Arabidopsis thaliana: one gene and its partners. The protein of the gene in region 1 interacts with the protein of each later gene in a pairwise test. Each region holds a gene or a part of one and is shown in the gene's direction. Other genes may lie near its edges.

Region 1 (4,404 bases):
AAGTTGGAATACAACATAAAAAATGGTATTTTGTGCTATCTTTTTTTTTATAAAATCGAGCTAGCATTATTAGTGTAAAATCTAATGCATTGACTTTTTAAAAAGGAATACTTATTTATAACCTCATGAGCTGGTCATTAGGAATTATGGAGTGAGCCCACTTTCCTAAATGACTTTTATATGTTTTATTTTAATTGTGTGTACTTTAAAAGTTTCTTACTTTTCTAATTTTTTTTTTAAACTTATTAGTTTTTCAATTCTACATAAGAAAGTATATTGACAAATTCAATTAATATAATTTTGAAGAATATAGAAATTAAAAATATATATTTTAGTTTCAATTAGTATATGATTTTTACTTTATGAATGATTGTTTGCTAAAACTACTTGCTGCAAAAATGAACATTAAAAAAAAAAACAGGTAACTAGAAGCCAAAAGCGTATGAAGTGCTATTTGAGGATGCAAATGGAGTGTTCCACAAGGCAAATCTAGCAAATAAGGCAACGAACGAAGTGATCTTGTCAGCTGGAGCCCTGGGTAGCCCACAACTATTAATGTTGAGTGGAGTAGGTCCTGCCGTCCATCTTGAGGCTCACGGCGTGAACCCACTCGTCCTAGATCAGCCCATGGTTGGGCAGGGGATGGCTGATAATCCCATGAACTTTGTAGCCATTCCTTCTCCTCAACCAGTAGAACTATCCCTCATACAAGCTGTTGGGATCACAAAGTTTGATAGTTACATTGAAGGTCTAAGTGGCTTGAGTCTCTCTTTTGATATAACTCGTAGGTTTTTCGATGGTGTTTTGAATCTTTTAAACGAGGTATATAACATAAATACATTTAAAGGTTATTTAGTTATGACTTATGAGATTGTATGTTGTCTAACTATGACGCATTATGCAGACAAGTCATACTACATCTAGGAAAATCCTGACCCAATCCATTGCAGTCCTTTTAAAATCTTTTGATGTTAAATTGGAAGTGAGGATGAATGGGGGTTTGATCTTTCAAAAAGTCGATGGACCGGCCTCAAAAGGACATATGAAGCTACGGAACACGAACCCAAGGGATAATCCTTCAGTGACATTCAACTACTATCAAGAACCAGAGGATTTGAACAAGTGTGTTAAAGGGCTTAACACCATTATTAGAATGATAAATTCCAAAGCTTTCTCCAAGTACAAGTATCCGGGTGTGACGGCACGTGAACTGCTCAATCTCATGTTGGCCCTTCCCATCAATTTGAGGCCAAGGCACGTGACCTCAGCGTTCAACTTGAAGCAGTTTTGCATCGACACCGTGACGAGTGTTTGGCATTACCATGGAGGTTGCCAAGTTGGAAAAGTGGTTGACAAGAATTACAAAGTCTTAGGCATAGATGGCTTAAGGGTCATCGATGGATCCACATTTCTCAAGTCTCCCGGGACTAATCCTCAAGCCACGGTCATGATGCTTGGAAGGTAAGCACAAAAACTAAATAATCACAACATCAATAAATAAGATATGATGTTTGAATAAAAATCATTGTGAAAGTGCTATGTGTAGGTACATGGGGCAGGAAATTATTCGGCAAAGAGCGGCTTTCCACGAAAAGTAACAAAAAGCCTAAGGTTCTTAATAGAGAGTAGACAAAAGTTTTCTCATCTATTATTACTTGTTGTGTTATTGTCTTCTAACATTTTCACACAAATGAAGAAAAGTAAACAAATTTTATTTCTACCCGTTACTAATACACTAGATAATACTTTCTCTTTCTAAATGATAAAGTGAAATAATAGAGATAAAAAAAAAAAAAAGAGATTTGGTTTTAAATATTCCATTGAAAACACAAAAATGACAATTTTTGTGAAACAAAATTAAAACCTTAAAATGACACGCGTCCTCGAAGTCCAACTTGACGCAGTTTTGCATCCACATTGTGATGACTATATGGCATTACCATGGAGGTTGTCAAGTTGGTCGACAAGAATTACAAAGTTTTAGGTATTGATGCCTTAATGGCCATTGATATGGATCCACATTTCTCAAGTCTCCGGAGACTAATCATCGAGCCACGGTCATGATGCTCGGAAGGTAAAACGCTCATACTTAATGATCATATGATTCTTCGAGTTGTGATTGTCTTGTTGAGACTTGAGTGTTATGTGTAGGTGTACATGGGGCAAAGGATTCTTCGAGAGAGAGAGTTGCTTTTCGAGAAGTATTTTCTATGATTATTCGATCGTTTCTCCAACTAAAGATGAGACCAGACAAGTATATGAATATGTGATCATCGTCCAAAGAAAAGAAAATTCTAACATAATCAGTATATATCACATGTTCCATGATTATTTGGAATAAAGAAGGAAATTTGATTCAGTTGTGGAGTTATTCTTATGTGGGCCTAAATTGGGCTTGAAATTAAATGGTCCGATTATAAAGTTTACTAAGCATAGTTAAATAAACTGGATCATTTAAATTTTATTCAGTTCTTAACTTCATTGATTCATTCTGCGTCGTTCGGAACTCTGCAACGAGAGTTAGGGTTTATACAGAGCAAAGAGAAGGAGAAAGCGAAACCAAAAATCGACATTAATGGCTGACGAAGATTACAACGACGTCGATGACTTGGGGTTATTCTCTCTTCCTCTCTCTCGGTTTCATATCTATTCATTATTCGTGCTCGGATTTCAAAAGATTCTATCTTCTTCTCGACGAATTCGTAATCGATTTAGAGTAAATTGGATTAGTTAATGTCTAAATTAGCAGTTTTTATAGATGGGTTTCTTCGATGAAACGTTGCTTCGATTTTGTTCGGTATAGTACTGATTCTAATCGATTTTAAGGTAGAAAGTAGAAACCCTAATTTCATTGAGAAAAAGCTATTTTTTAAAACTCTATGAGCTTTTCTAGTGAAACTTGTGAGTAAATTGAAGAAAATTTGGGCTATTGCAGATATGAGGATGAGCCAGCAGAGCCTGAGATTGAAGTAAGTTCAATATTTTTTCTTTGTATAAGAGACATGGTTATTGCTTATTATACAACTTTCGGTTTCTGATTGGTTTTTTTTTTCTTGTGTAGGAAGGAGTAGAGGAAGATGTTGAAATGAAGGAGAATGATGATGTCAATGGTGAGCCTATTGAAGCTGAAGATAAAGTCGAAACAGAACCTGTGCAACGTCCACGCAAAACGTCAAAGTTTATGACCAAGTATGAGCGTGCTCGTATCCTCGGCACTCGCGCTTTGCAGATTAGGTATGGTTCTTGCTACTGAGAACAATCTTTTTAATGTTAAATTGGCTTGAAAAGTTTGAGTCTTAATGTTGTTTTTTGGCTGATACAGCATGAATGCTCCTGTCATGGTTGAGCTAGAGGGTGAGACTGATCCACTTGAGGTGTGCTTACCTACCTTCTTGTTGTTGGTTTTTGAAGTTATGTCTCAGTAAACTTATATGAACATTTGAGCTAATTTATTATGATTTGGATTCAGATTGCGATGAAGGAGCTTAGGCAGCGGAAGATACCATTCACTATTAGACGCTATCTACCTGATGGGAGGTGAGAGATTGCATTGAGCTTATATTATTCTCTTCACTCACTTGATCTCTTCTTTTCTTGTGACTTACTTATGATTCCTGAAACAGTTTCGAGGAATGGGGAGTTGATGAACTGATCGTGGAAGACTCATGGAAACGTCAAGTTGGTGGTGATTGATAATCTGACCAGAGACAAATCGACAAATACGTATGTAACTTGCAAGCTTTCCTCTCTTATGGATGATAAATTTTCTGATGTTGTAATGGAACTAAAAATCAGTGAAACTTATGGATAATACTAGACTCATATTCCGAAATTCTGCAAAACTAGAAGCCCCAAGTACCATAATTCCACCATTATTATACATATTAGAAACAGAACATGAACAGATGTACACATTCATACTCTTTAAGTTAATCATACATTGATTAAAACAATTCCAAGATCAAGATTTTCTCAAAACAAGTAATATCTCACGCTTCTTTATCCGGTTTGTTGTATATCTCCCTCTCTTGAAGAATCCTTTGGCCCATATACCTACACAAAACACTCTGACACAATCAGTTCTTAATCAAATCATTAACATGTTTTAGATTATTTGGATCATTTGGTTTATGCATTTACCTTCCGAGCATCATAACAGTAGCTTGAGGATTAGTCCCCGGAGACTTGAGAAATGTGGATCCATCGATGACCCTTAAGGAATCAATGCCTAAGACTCTGTAATTCTTGTCAACCACTCTTCCAACTTGGCAACCTCCATGGTAGTGCCAAATTGTCATCACAGTGTCAATGCAAAACTGCCTTAAATTGAACATCGAGGTTATATGCCGCGGCCTCAGATTGGTAGGAACGCTTAGCATTAGATCGAGTAGTCCATGTATGGTC
Region 2 (4,584 bases), on another chromosome or scaffold:
TTTGAGTTCTTTTTCTTTATAAGTTGCATCTTTTAGAGATTTTTTTTTTTAAGTTACATCCTTTTTAGAAACGAGGGTTTTGGTTGGATCATGAAATTTTTGTTTGTGGCAAGACAGGCCGGTGGTTAGTTACAGTCTGTAAGTTCCATGACGTGTCTCTCTTCGCGTGGGTCCCGTCACGATTCTCTCAGGTTTTGCCGTTTTGGTATATGATCTTTAGGGGTATTTCTGTCTATTGATTATATTTTCTCGGTAATATTACGCTTGATTTGAATCCTTCGACTATAATAGAGATTTTCTTAATTTCACTTTCACGTTCAAAGATTTTTTCGCATTGTCTTTTGGAAAAATAGCAGAGTTTTTTAAAAAATAAATAAGAAACGATACATTCAAAAAATATTATGTGAAGTTGAGTTTTTTTTTACATATAGAGGAAATAAAATTGATCATAGTCATAGACATAGAAATTTGTCAGTGGAATCTTTTCTATTAGGTCAAACAAGATTCAACTTTTAACATTTTATCTAGGACTTCTGAATTCTGATATACAATGATCGATGATATTATAAATAAGATAAAAAGGCTTTATTTGTATTATTTCCTTGTAAAGTAAAGTATTTCTTAATTTCATGTTTGTTGGGTCATGCAAAATATGTTTCCAAGGCAAGGTAGCGGATTTTTTGTGAAGAATATTAGCTGGGTCCCACGTGACACAAAAGCTATGCGGAAAAGGGTGTTTCCGTAAACTCACTTGAAAATTTCTGCTAACCAGTTTTGTCCGGTTAAGTTCATGTTATGTATGTTACAATTTGGGAATTGGGATTCAGTTAAACCGGATCAGCCGAAGACATTATTATATTCGTTTTGTAACTTTTTGTTTAGAGGGTGTCGAGTTAGGTTATCGAGCTGAGCTGTATATAAAAACATCTCAAACAAAGGTGAGGAGGGGATGCATTTGCAAAATGGAATTAAGGGGTGTTTCGTAATCGTGACAGTTACGTTTTTGGTTTCTCTCCTATGAGGCTTATTTTGGGCCTCAACAAGAAGTAGGCGTTTTAACACGTTTCGTCATCTAGAGCCAGATGAGAGGGCCTAAACCCTACCTGTGGCTGGTTATTTATTGCTTTAACTTACCCGACAGATGCGACTCAATTTGAAATATCTCTTTTGGGCCTACTGATCTTATTGACGAGAGGATTCATCACCCTTTTCTTCGGCCACTTGGAAAGATTATATAGATTGTATGTTTTCTCTTTTCATTTTCTATCCTCGTGAAGTTTTTATTTTTATTTTTTTATTCAGATTACGAAAATCTTGAGAAAAAGAATAAGACCCGGTGAGCGAAAGGAATGTGTGGCGATGGCGATGCCTACACAGCCGTGAAGCCGAGTCATCGATTATAAAATGAGATGTGTCGATGATAACATTGCTAGTATAATTCTTGGTGTGGTCCATTATTTGATAAATTTATGGTATGCGTCCCTCATGGGAAGTGTGATAAGATTAAACCTAGTGTTCGATATAAAATTTCAAATTTTGTGTCTTAGCCATTCTATTGAATTTTAAACTACGGTCAGATTGAAGCTTACATATATTTGATGTAAAACATAAAAATATGTGGCTGTTACTCGTACACATTTATGGTTATATAAATGAATAGTCTCAATCACAGCCGTGCTCTGTAGTTGTCAGGTATTCGTGTGGTTTGAAGTATAACATTGTCAACTATTTGTATAAAGTTTCTCTATACTATTAGTTCCATGATCTAGTTATATATACAAGTCATATCAGTTTACACTAAACCACTCGACACTCATTGATAATCGCATACCGTTACTACAAAACTAAATTCACCTTCATTGCTTATTAAAATCAAATCATCACAATAGCTGATAGATCGTGGCCTTAGCATTTCCTCGGTAAGACTTATGAAAAAATTAAGATAACTATTCTTTGAAAAAGGTAAAGGAAAAGAAGTTGGGAAAACTTTGGCCTTTGTGTACCAAAAGTAGAAAAATAATTTCCAGCTTGTCATTTTCCTACGGTCCCAATTAATTATATCTCTCTCTATAAATATAGTAACACACTTAGCCATCGTACACTTACTAGTTACTTCCAACATTTGGCTTCCTTTGCTTTCACGAATAGAAACCTTAGCTTCTTCCATTTCTTCTTTCTCTCCTCGTTTAAATTAGTTTTTGACAAGGAAGAAAAAGATGGGGAGAAGACCATGCTGTGAGAAGATAGGATTGAAGAAAGGGCCATGGAGTGCTGAAGAAGATCGAATCTTGATCAATTATATTAGTCTCCATGGCCATCCCAATTGGAGAGCTCTCCCTAAACTAGCCGGTAAATAAGCCATTTTATATTTGCTATTTGCCATATGTATATATTAGTAACAAAATAATTTTGTACCTAGCTAGCATGTGTATTATTGTTCTATAGTATATAGTAGTGTATATTTGTTGTGTAAAGTTAATAATGGTGTTTGTGAAATGATTAGGGCTACTTCGGTGCGGAAAAAGTTGCAGGCTTCGTTGGATTAATTATTTGAGACCAGACATCAAACGTGGCAATTTCACTCCTCATGAAGAAGATACTATCATCAGCTTACATCAACTCTTAGGCAACAGGTTTCTCCTCCTTTTCCATTTTCTGTTTTTTTACTTCTTCCTTTGATTATATGCGAAATTTTAGATTTTTTGGTCCTATATTCTTTGAAACCAGAAATTAAACAAGAATTTGAGAAATCACTCACAAATTTTTCTTTATTTTTAATCTTTGAGAAGTCAAATCACAAGTTTTTTTCTTTCTTTTAAAGTAAGTCAATGCAATTTCTGTTTAGTCCATAACTCCATATATATTACAGTGAAAATGATATAATGTTCATTTGTAGATGAAGGATTTTGGGACATCAAATTGTGAAAAGTATCATTATTTTGGAAGTTTAGTTTGTTTTAACTGTGGAGACTAGCTAGCTAGATTACTTCACAATTTTCTCTTTGTATATGTGTTGCTTTTGTCAATATGCGAAATTTTATATCTTTGTGGGGCAGAGAACTGAGAAGATTCCAACCCGTGATTGCCTTTGTCCATTAAATAATTTCAATTTTTTACTTTCCTCTAATTATACTTTTTATTCACTAGTAGACAAAGATAGGCACTGTGATCAGTGTAAGACATGTGCAAATTCTTTTAACCATACGCATGAACTTCAATAACTTTCCTTTTGTTTTACTCGCTCTTTGTTCTCATAACAATGTAGACGACGTATTATGATGATTGATGAGTCATTCATGTGACATTTGTTTTGAGTAGATGGTCTGCGATAGCTGCAAAATTGCCTGGACGAACAGACAACGAAATTAAAAATGTTTGGCACACTCATTTAAAGAAAAGACTCCACCACAGTCAAGATCAAAACAACAAGGAAGATTTCGTCTCTACTACAGCTGCGGAGATGCCAACCTCTCCGCAACAACAATCTAGTAGTAGTGCCGACATTTCAGCAATTACAACATTGGGAAACAACAATGACATCTCCAATAGCAACAAAGACTCCGCGACGTCATCCGAAGATGTTCTTGCAATTATAGATGAGAGCTTTTGGTCAGAAGTGGTATTGATGGACTGTGACATTTCAGGAAATGAGAAGAATGAGAAAAAGATAGAGAATTGGGAGGGCTCACTAGATAGAAACGATAAGGGATATAACCATGACATGGAGTTTTGGTTTGACCATCTCACTAGTAGTAGTTGTATAATTGGAGAAATGTCCGACATTTCTGAGTTTTGATTTGTTTTAGTTAAAGACTTATATATCTTCCTTTGTGACCCACATGAATAAAAGTCGTTTACGTTTCCTATATTAGTCCTCTTTCTATTTATCGTTCTATTACTTTTGGTTAGTTAAAATACAGATCAGGACATATGCTAAATGTTCGTATCATGTTATACATACATATATTATGATTTCTTTTTTCTCTCCCTTTTAATGTAATTTTAAATCTATGGTGATGTCTTGTACTGTAACTTGTTTAGTGGATGGCTAGATTAAAGAAAGTCTATGTTGTTGTTCTAATGGTAGTCGCATATTCCCTTTTTTTCTATGCACAATGAATTTACTATATAAATCACATTTAAAACTCTTATAATTCACTAACAGAACAGTAATGGCTAACCGACAAAAAATATAGTATTTAAGTAGCCATGTGATTATGCTATGGTTTTTCGCACAAAAAAAAGTGATTATGCTATGGTTTTCCGGTCCTAATAGATTTGGAGTTCTCAAACTAATGTATTAATGTGATCCTCAATTGCTCCATGCATGGAAGCAATTGTGGTTTCTAAGCCCAAAATTTAAAAAGAAGAGAAGATGTGAATGCTCGTCAGAAATTGGTTTTGTTTGGCCGTAGCAATTTCTTGTAGTGCGCGATCTTGATTTTACAGATACTGGTTCTTAGCTAATAAATTTAAACCGATATATCTTAAAAAAAAAAAAACCATTACCTAAGAAGCACCATTGGTATTATCGATGATCCAGCGATGAATCCAATATAAGTTATAATAAATTCATCACCATCA
Region 3 (8,480 bases), on another chromosome or scaffold:
TGCAGCATTTGCAACTAGAGTCTATATAAATAAACAACAAAAACTTCTACACTTTTAGAAACTCAACGGGCACTAACATAAAGTATTAGCAAACTAAACGCAACGACGGTTGTGAATGAAAGACTTTCGCAAATGTATAATGAGTGTGATTAAAGTGAAATTATATGCTCTCTTTTATCAAATGAAAGAACCAATCAATACTTCGGTAATGTATGTAAAATTGGTGTCGATACATATACAGTATATCTACACATTATATAGGAGTCAGTGATTCGTGATATATTAACTAGAGTTGCATCATCAGATAGTTATTTTTATATTGTCAACTACTATTTTATGCTTGTAAAAATACACAGAGATGGTTCTTGGTTACAACAAGGAATATTTCATATGTGAAATCTGAAAGGCAACAATATTAGACTAATATAGCAAATAACATGATATCAACGTATGGGAGTGTAAATGTCTGAATGTTCCATTTGAGAAATGTCCTCATCATGTGACACAAGTTTATTAGGCTACTCAAGTTAGCTTAGAATTAAGAAGCTAGAACATGTGAAAATAAATAGAAAACAAAAAAGAGGAAACAAAAACTAATAACAGAACGAGAAGTTGAAACCTTTTGGATCCAATTAAATGAATATCGATGTAATTCCAAAATGTTAGTTCATGTGTTAATGTTTGAAGATCTAGTACATATGAATAACATTTGAAATCATTTTTGTTTCATGCAATTACATAACTACAAGGGTTTTCATCACATATTGCTAATTAATTTTGAGTTTAGAATCCAAAACATTTAACCGAAAATCTAATAATTTTAAAAAGGGTGATTTACTCATCTATAAGACTAACTAAAAAAATACGTACTAAATTATTTACAAGAGACAATTGATAACTAGAGTATGAATTAGTTGTTTAGACTTACCCATGTGTCAAAGTCATATTGACAAATGGCTCGGTTATAACTGATTTATATACCAATAATTGCATACAAGTTTGTTTCTTAAATAAATCAAGCAATATTCATAAGATTGCATGTGTATTTTCTGCGAAACTATTAGTACGAATTCGTGGATATGCAAATTTAATGACTATGCAAAGTAGGTGAGAATGTAATAGCGATTAGAATAGCTAGGGTTTAGCCTACCAACCATGGTAATCCAGTTTCCTAATTATCGTTAGTTTTTGAATCCCATTCATGCTTTTATCTATTTTTCAACCAATCATGTCTTTTTACCAACAAAGCATTTCCAGTCTAAGCAATATGGTAGGTAACTCGGTACGATAAACAGAAAGATAATTTATTATTCATCTATAAACGAATAATTGGTTCTCACATTACTCATACAGAGGAAAAAAAGGGATATACAAACCCTCTCTAAATTATATAGTTTTGAATTCACTGTTGTTTATCAACAACATATATAACTCTCTTACCCAATTCTTATTATTGTTCATACTTCATAGACATTAACATGTACGTATAGTGATTGCTACAATGAATGGTATGTACAGATATTGAGACAGACAGTAGAAAGGGATGAATCGAGTATTTATTAAAGAGAAAGGAAAGGGCCAATCTATGCCTAGTTTCAATTATGAAACTCAACCCATGAACTGATTTAAATACTTTACCTATCGGATAAGACTTTTAAGGGTCTAAAATATTTTCCAACTATTTTTCATTTGCAACAAACCTTAAAGTAATATGCTAAAGAGATCTTTTCCAAAGGTGGAATGATTTTTTTGATCTAAAACGGCCCATCAACCAATCTTCGGTCCATTATCCTGACATGATTATTTGGGCTACATTTTTTTAAGTCTTTTGCAGTAAATTGTTGAACCAACAAAAATAAAGAGTTGGAGTTGGACCTAGTAGCTGATCTGCTGATGTGTTGGTGATGGTCGTCGTGGGTTCCTGTCTTATAACCCTAGAAACCAAGCCACTTCATCATTCTCAAATTCAATGCTTTACTAAATAATATTATTATCGAAATCAAAATACTAATTTAGACGTATATAAATCTAGAAGCAAACCTTAGGTGAGGTCGAAACAGAGATGACCTTTTGCGTGCACTTTAATTAATATCTTATTACATAAAATGTCACACTTTGAGTAAACTTTACATTATTCTCTCATCCATAATAAATAAATAAAGCATACTGGGTTTTAGGTCAGGCTGACGTCAGCAGTTTCTTTGTGTTTCATTTTTTTTTTTTTTGTAATCTAACGCTCCAGATTTGTTGTCTTCTCCACGAGCCCTTTGTTGTTGTTGGTAATGGAGATTTTCGCTCTAAGTCATTGTGGCTTCTTCTTCTTTATTTAGAAACCAATTCATCAACTCCTTCGTTATTTCTAAATCTCTTTGCCACTACCTCTTGTTGCTGCAATTGAATTGGCTCAAATCTTCTTCACTTGGTCGACGTAAAGACGACTTTGACTTGGTTTTTAACTTCACTTCTCCGTCGAAAACTATCCCTTCTCTTCCGATCGAATCAATCGGCTCTCTCTCCACACAAACCAAGGTAAGGGTTAACCCTCTCCGGTGATTATGCTCTGATAAATTTACTTGCTCGGCCATTAGTGTTCAGAAACTTGGTGATTTATGCATGTTTTTTTTTGTTCAAAGACCGTAGATTTCGGAATTAGGATTGTAAAAATTGAACCTTTACATCAGTGTTTTTACAAAGTTATAAGCTTTACTTGGAAATCAGTGGTTTTTTGGGTCAACCAAAGTTGAAAGATTTGAAGAAGAATGAAACTAGTTCGATTTATATATCATTTTATTGCTTCTTAAGAAAGTGTCGTCCTTGGTTCTTTATGAATTTCCAATTGCAGCCAAATATGTCATGTTATTCACCTAATTTTTGTATTTTCCAATTGCAGCCAAATATCTTCTCCTGTTACTGGAGACAAACCTGCATACATTTCTGTCATCTCTGTTAAGGTATTACATTTAGTTTACTTGTTTACTTAATGTAGCTGCTTATTACATTTTTTTCTTCAAGTCTATATTCTTCTTTCAATAGCATTAAAAGTTATGTGTATCCTCAGATTAGATCTTGCTGACTCGCAAGTTTTTGGATTATTTAGCGGTTTAATAAGAATTATATCTTCCTTGAAATTGTGCCTAGGTAGTGGAATCGTTGTTAGCCTACTGTAGCTCAGATAGGTGATGGATCATTTCCGTTCAATTGAATAATTTGACTATTTAAGGTTTGCACTTAGTTTTGTCTACAGAATCAATTCATCCTTTTTCACAGTCAAGATATTATTCTCATTATCACTATTGTAGACTTCTTGGACTTCCATACATTCATCAGTCAACTTTTCGATGGTGCGTTTTTATCACAGTGGCACAATTATTTAAGAGGCTCCATCTCCACTGCACCACTGAGAAGTTTCGTGTGGACATGTCTAAGCTTAGAATTGGTTTGGTTGAAAACTGAGGAGATGGAAGTGACTCGTGGTTTCTCTTTTTTGGACAAGTTTCTTCGAAAGGTCTGTTGATTTTCTTTGTCTCTTGTGAACTTTAATTTCGTTTTTTTTTCCTTAGGATGCAATGATATCTTATCTTTAGATGTCAATATCAAATGTCCTTAACTATTCATTCATTTACGGATTTTGATTACTTTATAACAGTTGGTATCTTCTTCTATATATCGTCATCTTATATGTTTTTATTTGTATATAGTCTTTCACAGAAGGAGCGTATTGAGTTTCTCGACAATATATTTGACATCTTCTTCTGCCTTTTCTGGTAAGTGTTTAACTTTTCTGATACCAATTAGTTTTCTTAATCATTGCATATTTTTAATGCTTGTGCCTTTATTAAAGAGGAAAGTTGCGGTGGATTAAAGCACCATCGTGCGGAGAATACGATAAGGCTCTTGCTTCATTTGAAGTTATTGACAGTTGAATCGAGCCGCTCAATTGGTCAATTATGGAGTCAATAAAGGTTTGCATGAACGCACTGTGCGGAGCGGCCTCTACGTCGGGCGAGTGGAAAAAAGGCTGGCCTATGCGATCCGGTGATTTAGCTTCTCTCTGCGATAAGTGTGGGTAAGGGCCTTCACTCTTGTGTCTAATTTGAATACTTTTGCGACCAGTTCGATATTCGCAACACTTCTGCGATAGATTAGTGCTGTGGGTTTGCTTACAATTAGAACAAGAGTGGGTACGTGAAGGGAATCTATATTTCATGATTACTTATTAGTAAACTCTGTGAATGTTGGTTTTTGATAGGTGTGCATACGAGCAATCCATATTCTGTGAAGTGTTCCATGCCAAGGAATCTGGTTGGAGAGAGTGTAATTCATGTGACAAGGTGACGAAAATCCATGGCTTACTACACATGTTTTTGCACTCAACGTATTTCAATTGTTTTCCTTAATACGTATTTACGTTTTTTTCAGCGTCTTCACTGTGGATGCATTGCTTCTAGATTTATGATGGAGCTTCTAGAGAATGGTGGTGTTACCTGTATAAGTTGCGCCAAGAAATCCGGACTAATTTCTGTAAGACAATTTCCTCTCCATGAGTTAACTTCTTGCAAGGGATGCTTCCTTGGTCTTGGTTTCTCTGTCACTATACTCATGTAATCTCTCTTACAGATGAATGTGAGCCATGAATCTAACGGTAAGGACTTCCCCTCATTTGCTTCAGCAGAGCATGTAGGCAGTGTTCTTGAGAGGACAAATCTCAAGCACTTGCTTCACTTTCAAAGAATCGACCCCACTCATTCTTCTCTTCAAATGAAACAAGAAGAATCGCTGCTTCCTTCCAGCCTAGATGCTCTTAGACACAAAACTGAAAGGAAAGAATTGTCTGCACAGCCAAACTTGAGCATTTCACTTGGACCTACGCTTATGACAAGCCCATTTCATGATGCTGCTGTTGATGACAGAAGTAAGACTAATTCGATTTTCCAACTGGCCCCTCGGTCCAGGCAGCTGCTTCCAAAACCTGCAAATTCAGCTCCCATTGCTGCTGGCATGGAGCCTAGTGGGAGCCTGGTGTCACAGATTCATGTCGCTCGGCCTCCTCCAGAAGGTCGCGGGAAGACCCAATTGCTTCCCCGTTACTGGCCTAGGATTACTGACCAAGAGCTGCTGCAATTATCTGGACAGTATCCTCATCTGTATGTTATAATATCGTGTTTCTGCTTTTATTCTACCATTATGCACTATTTTTCTGTGCTAAGGAGTCCTTGACTGTTTATTTTCCTAGCTCAAATTCCAAAATTATACCACTCTTTGAAAAAGTTCTGAGTGCGAGCGATGCGGGTCGTATTGGTCGACTGGTTCTTCCGAAAGCATGTGCAGAGGTAACTTGTTTCTCTGTACGCTTATTTGATATTCCCAAACTATTGCTATCTAAATGCCAGGTATCAGCTATAACCGTCTATGCTTCTATGTAGGCATATTTCCCCCCTATATCTCTACCCGAGGGTCTCCCGTTAAAGATACAAGACATAAAAGGGAAAGAATGGGTGTTCCAGTTCAGGTTTTGGCCTAATAATAACAGCAGGATGTACGTTTTGGAGGGTGTGACTCCTTGCATACAGTCCATGCAGTTGCAAGCTGGTGACACTGGTACTTTTCAAATCCTTTTGTTTCGTTAACTACATTCATAACATATTGATAAACCCACCCTGGTATGGATAAATGAAACATTGGCACTAAAGCGTTCCAATCATGAGGACAGTGAAATACATTCCACGAAGAGATGACCGTACTTTTCTATTAGGTCTGATGTCTTGGATTTTCCATGTTCTCTGCAGTAACATTCAGCCGTACAGAACCTGAAGGAAAACTCGTAATGGGATACCGTAAAGCGACGAACTCTACAGCGACACAGGTAAATGCATAATAAGCTGAGAGTTGCCCCCTTAGGCATAAGTAACTGCCACTGTGAAGTGTATTGAATTAAAGAATCCTTTTCTGGTGCTCTCGTACTGATTCTTTCAGTGAAATATTTTTCCGTGTTTCTTCAGATGTTCAAGGGAAGCAGTGAACCCAATCTGAACATGTTTTCCAACAGCTTGAATCCGGGATGTGGTGACATCAATTGGTCTAAACTAGAGAAGTCTGAGGACATGGCAAAGGATAACTTATTTCTTCAGTCGTCCTTAACTTCTGCTAGGAAACGGGTTCGGAACATTGGGACTAAGAGCAAGCGTCTGCTCATTGATAGCGTAGATGTTCTGGAACTGAAAATAACTTGGGAGGAGGCACAGGAGCTGTTGCGGCCTCCCCAATCCACCAAACCCAGCATCTTTACGCTGGAAAATCAAGATTTTGAAGAATATGACGTGAGTTACTGTTAACTGTTTAGTTATCAAAAACAGCTGGGAACTTTTCACTGTATTTTCTGAAATCATGTATTTGCTGCTACCCAGGAACCACCAGTTTTCGGGAAGAGGACCCTTTTTGTCTCACGTCAAACAGGGTGAGGCCTCATGTACTATGTAATGATAGGATCAGAAGAATTAAGCACCCTTGGAATGATCGAAAGATTTGAAGTAATGAACATCTGATTATTTGGTTCTGATATGTGATCCATGAATTCTCAGGGAACAAGAGCAATGGGTGCAGTGTGATGCTTGTGGGAAATGGCGACAGCTGCCGGTGGATATTCTTCTTCCACCAAAGTGGTCGTGCTCTGATAATCTCTTGGATCCTGGCAGGTAAACGAGGTTGCATGTTCATGTGTTTAACCTAGGCTAGTTACCACAGAACATTGCGCATTTTTTTCCGAAATAACTTAGACTACACATATGGGATAATTATAGATTTTTGACTCACTGAGACTGGCCATCTGAATAATTTGAGTTGCTGTTTATATCGTCAGGTCTTCATGTTCCGCACCTGATGAACTCTCTCCAAGAGAACAGGATACACTTGTCCGGCAGAGCAAAGGTAAAATCCGCAGCTATTATTGGTCTGTATAATTAGAAACTTCCTTCTTTACATAACGAAACTTTCGTCTCAACAGAGTTCAAAAGGAGGAGACTGGCATCATCAAACGAAAAGCTAAACCAGTCGCAGGATGCATCTGCTCTGAATAGTTTAGGAAATGCAGGCATCACCACAACCGGTGAACAGGGGGAAATCACGGTTGCAGCCACGACCAAGCATCCAAGACACCGGGCAGGGTGTTCGTGCATCGTCTGCAGCCAACCACCGAGCGGAAAAGGCAAACACAAGCCGTCATGCACTTGCACTGTGTGCGAGGCAGTGAAGAGACGATTCAGGACGCTCATGCTGCGGAAGCGGAACAAAGGAGAGGCAGGACAGGCAAGCCAGCAGGCGCAGTCACAGTCAGAGTGCAGGGACGAGACAGAAGTGGAGAGCATTCCAGCGGTTGAACTAGCCGCAGGGGAAAACATCGACTTGAACTCAGACCCGGGGGCTTCCCGAGTAAGCATGATGAGGCTTCTCCAAGCTGCAGCGTTTCCTCTGGAAGCATATCTGAAACAAAAGGCTATTTCCAATACAGCAGGAGAACAGCAAAGCAGTGATATGGTCAGCACAGAACACGGTTCGTCCTCAGCCGCACAAGAAACTGAGAAAGACACAACAAATGGAGCTCATGATCCTGTGAACTAAACAGCTTTGGAATTCTCCATGAGTATTTATTCTTCAGTGGTATGTGTTTCTTATTTACACAAAAAATGTCTTCGGTTTCGTCTCAAATTGGTTGAGTGGTTACGACCATTCTACCAATTGTCGATCGAAGAAATGAGGAATTTGTAGTTTGCTTTTCTTTTTGTTTCTGGTGTTTTGGTTTGGTGTGTGGTGAGTTGAGGCTTGAGAGAGAGAGACAAATAGATTTGATGAGGTTTTTGAAAATACATAGGACACTAACTTAATAGTTATATCTAATATGGAAATGGATGAAGCTTCTAAGAAGAGAATCGGTTCTGGAGGTGGAGCTTCAAATTTGTACGCCTATCTATCGCAATCTTAAGTTTCAAAATTCGAACCTGTACATAATTTTTATTATTTTCAAGTTTGTTTATGAAATTTATGATTTACTTAAATTAGAGAAATTGGTTACGCGAGATCCTATTATTTTGATTTGGTGATAAACTTATGGTATGAAGACACACAATCAGTTACATGGAAGCAAATAAATCGGCTATAGCTCGGTCGATGTTAGAAGTGTTGATCGTGTCAGTGTAATAATAAGAGTTATCACTTATCACTCAACTAAACTCCTAAAAATAGAGCCATATGATAAGCTATCACTCATCCAAATCCTAAAAATATAAAAAACCGTTTGGTATATCCAATTTGTCTCGAGTTCTAAACATTAGCGATAATACAGTATTAGTTTCAGAATTTGAGTCAGAAATTGATATAAATTTAGATGAAGAAGCATGTTTGTTGCTTGTTTTTGCTTCTTTCTATGTCTCTGTTATGATAACATACAGTATCAAAGAAGTTAAGACCTGAGGTCAACTCGTTTGTTC

What was found.
Region 2: the proteins of NRPB6A (region 1) and MYB13 interact in binary tests that used the Arabidopsis thaliana proteins (3 or more experiments, as listed by UniProt).
Region 3: the proteins of NRPB6A (region 1) and HSL1 interact in binary tests that used the Arabidopsis thaliana proteins (3 or more experiments, as listed by UniProt).

The regions. Positions count from the first base shown.
Region 1 is NC_003076.8:21,102,104-21,106,507, forward strand, and holds NRPB6A (RNA polymerase Rpb6), read left to right. Parts: upstream 1-2,447; 5' UTR 2,448-2,575; coding exon 2,576-2,613; intron 2,614-2,935; coding exon 2,936-2,969; intron 2,970-3,061; coding exon 3,062-3,234; intron 3,235-3,322; coding exon 3,323-3,374; intron 3,375-3,469; coding exon 3,470-3,537; intron 3,538-3,623; coding exon 3,624-3,693; 3' UTR 3,694-3,844; downstream 3,845-4,404. Other genes in the region: AT5G51930 (Glucose-methanol-choline (GMC) oxidoreductase family protein), read left to right, coding at 440-822, 905-1,465; AT5G51950 (Glucose-methanol-choline (GMC) oxidoreductase family protein), read right to left, coding at 3,990-4,053, 4,141-4,404.
Region 2 is NC_003070.9:1,887,294-1,891,877, forward strand, and holds MYB13 (myb domain protein 13), read left to right. Parts: upstream 1-2,068; 5' UTR 2,069-2,216; coding exon 2,217-2,349; intron 2,350-2,503; coding exon 2,504-2,633; intron 2,634-3,318; coding exon 3,319-3,796; 3' UTR 3,797-3,983; downstream 3,984-4,584. UniProt on the Arabidopsis thaliana protein: Plays a regulatory role in meristem function. Functions as component of a regulatory network controlling the establishment and/or development of the shoot system by the regulation of apical meristem function. May play a role in tolerance to boric acid.
Region 3 is NC_003075.7:15,477,284-15,485,763, forward strand, and holds HSL1 (HSI2-like 1), read left to right. Parts: upstream 1-2,095; 5' UTR 2,096-2,529; intron 2,530-2,890; 5' UTR 2,891-2,951; intron 2,952-3,211; exon of another isoform or gene 3,212-3,358; 5' UTR 3,359-3,505; intron 3,506-3,698; 5' UTR 3,699-3,764; intron 3,765-3,841; 5' UTR 3,842-3,947; coding exon 3,948-4,066; intron 4,067-4,249; coding exon 4,250-4,331; intron 4,332-4,419; coding exon 4,420-4,521; intron 4,522-4,617; coding exon 4,618-5,144; intron 5,145-5,233; coding exon 5,234-5,330; intron 5,331-5,423; coding exon 5,424-5,598; intron 5,599-5,786; coding exon 5,787-5,863; intron 5,864-5,999; coding exon 6,000-6,317; intron 6,318-6,404; coding exon 6,405-6,454; intron 6,455-6,578; coding exon 6,579-6,692; intron 6,693-6,856; coding exon 6,857-6,924; intron 6,925-7,000; coding exon 7,001-7,614; 3' UTR 7,615-8,071; downstream 8,072-8,480. UniProt on the Arabidopsis thaliana protein: Transcriptional repressor of gene expression involved in embryonic pathways, such as LEC1, ABI3, and FUS3. Repressor of the sugar-inducible genes involved in the seed maturation program in seedlings.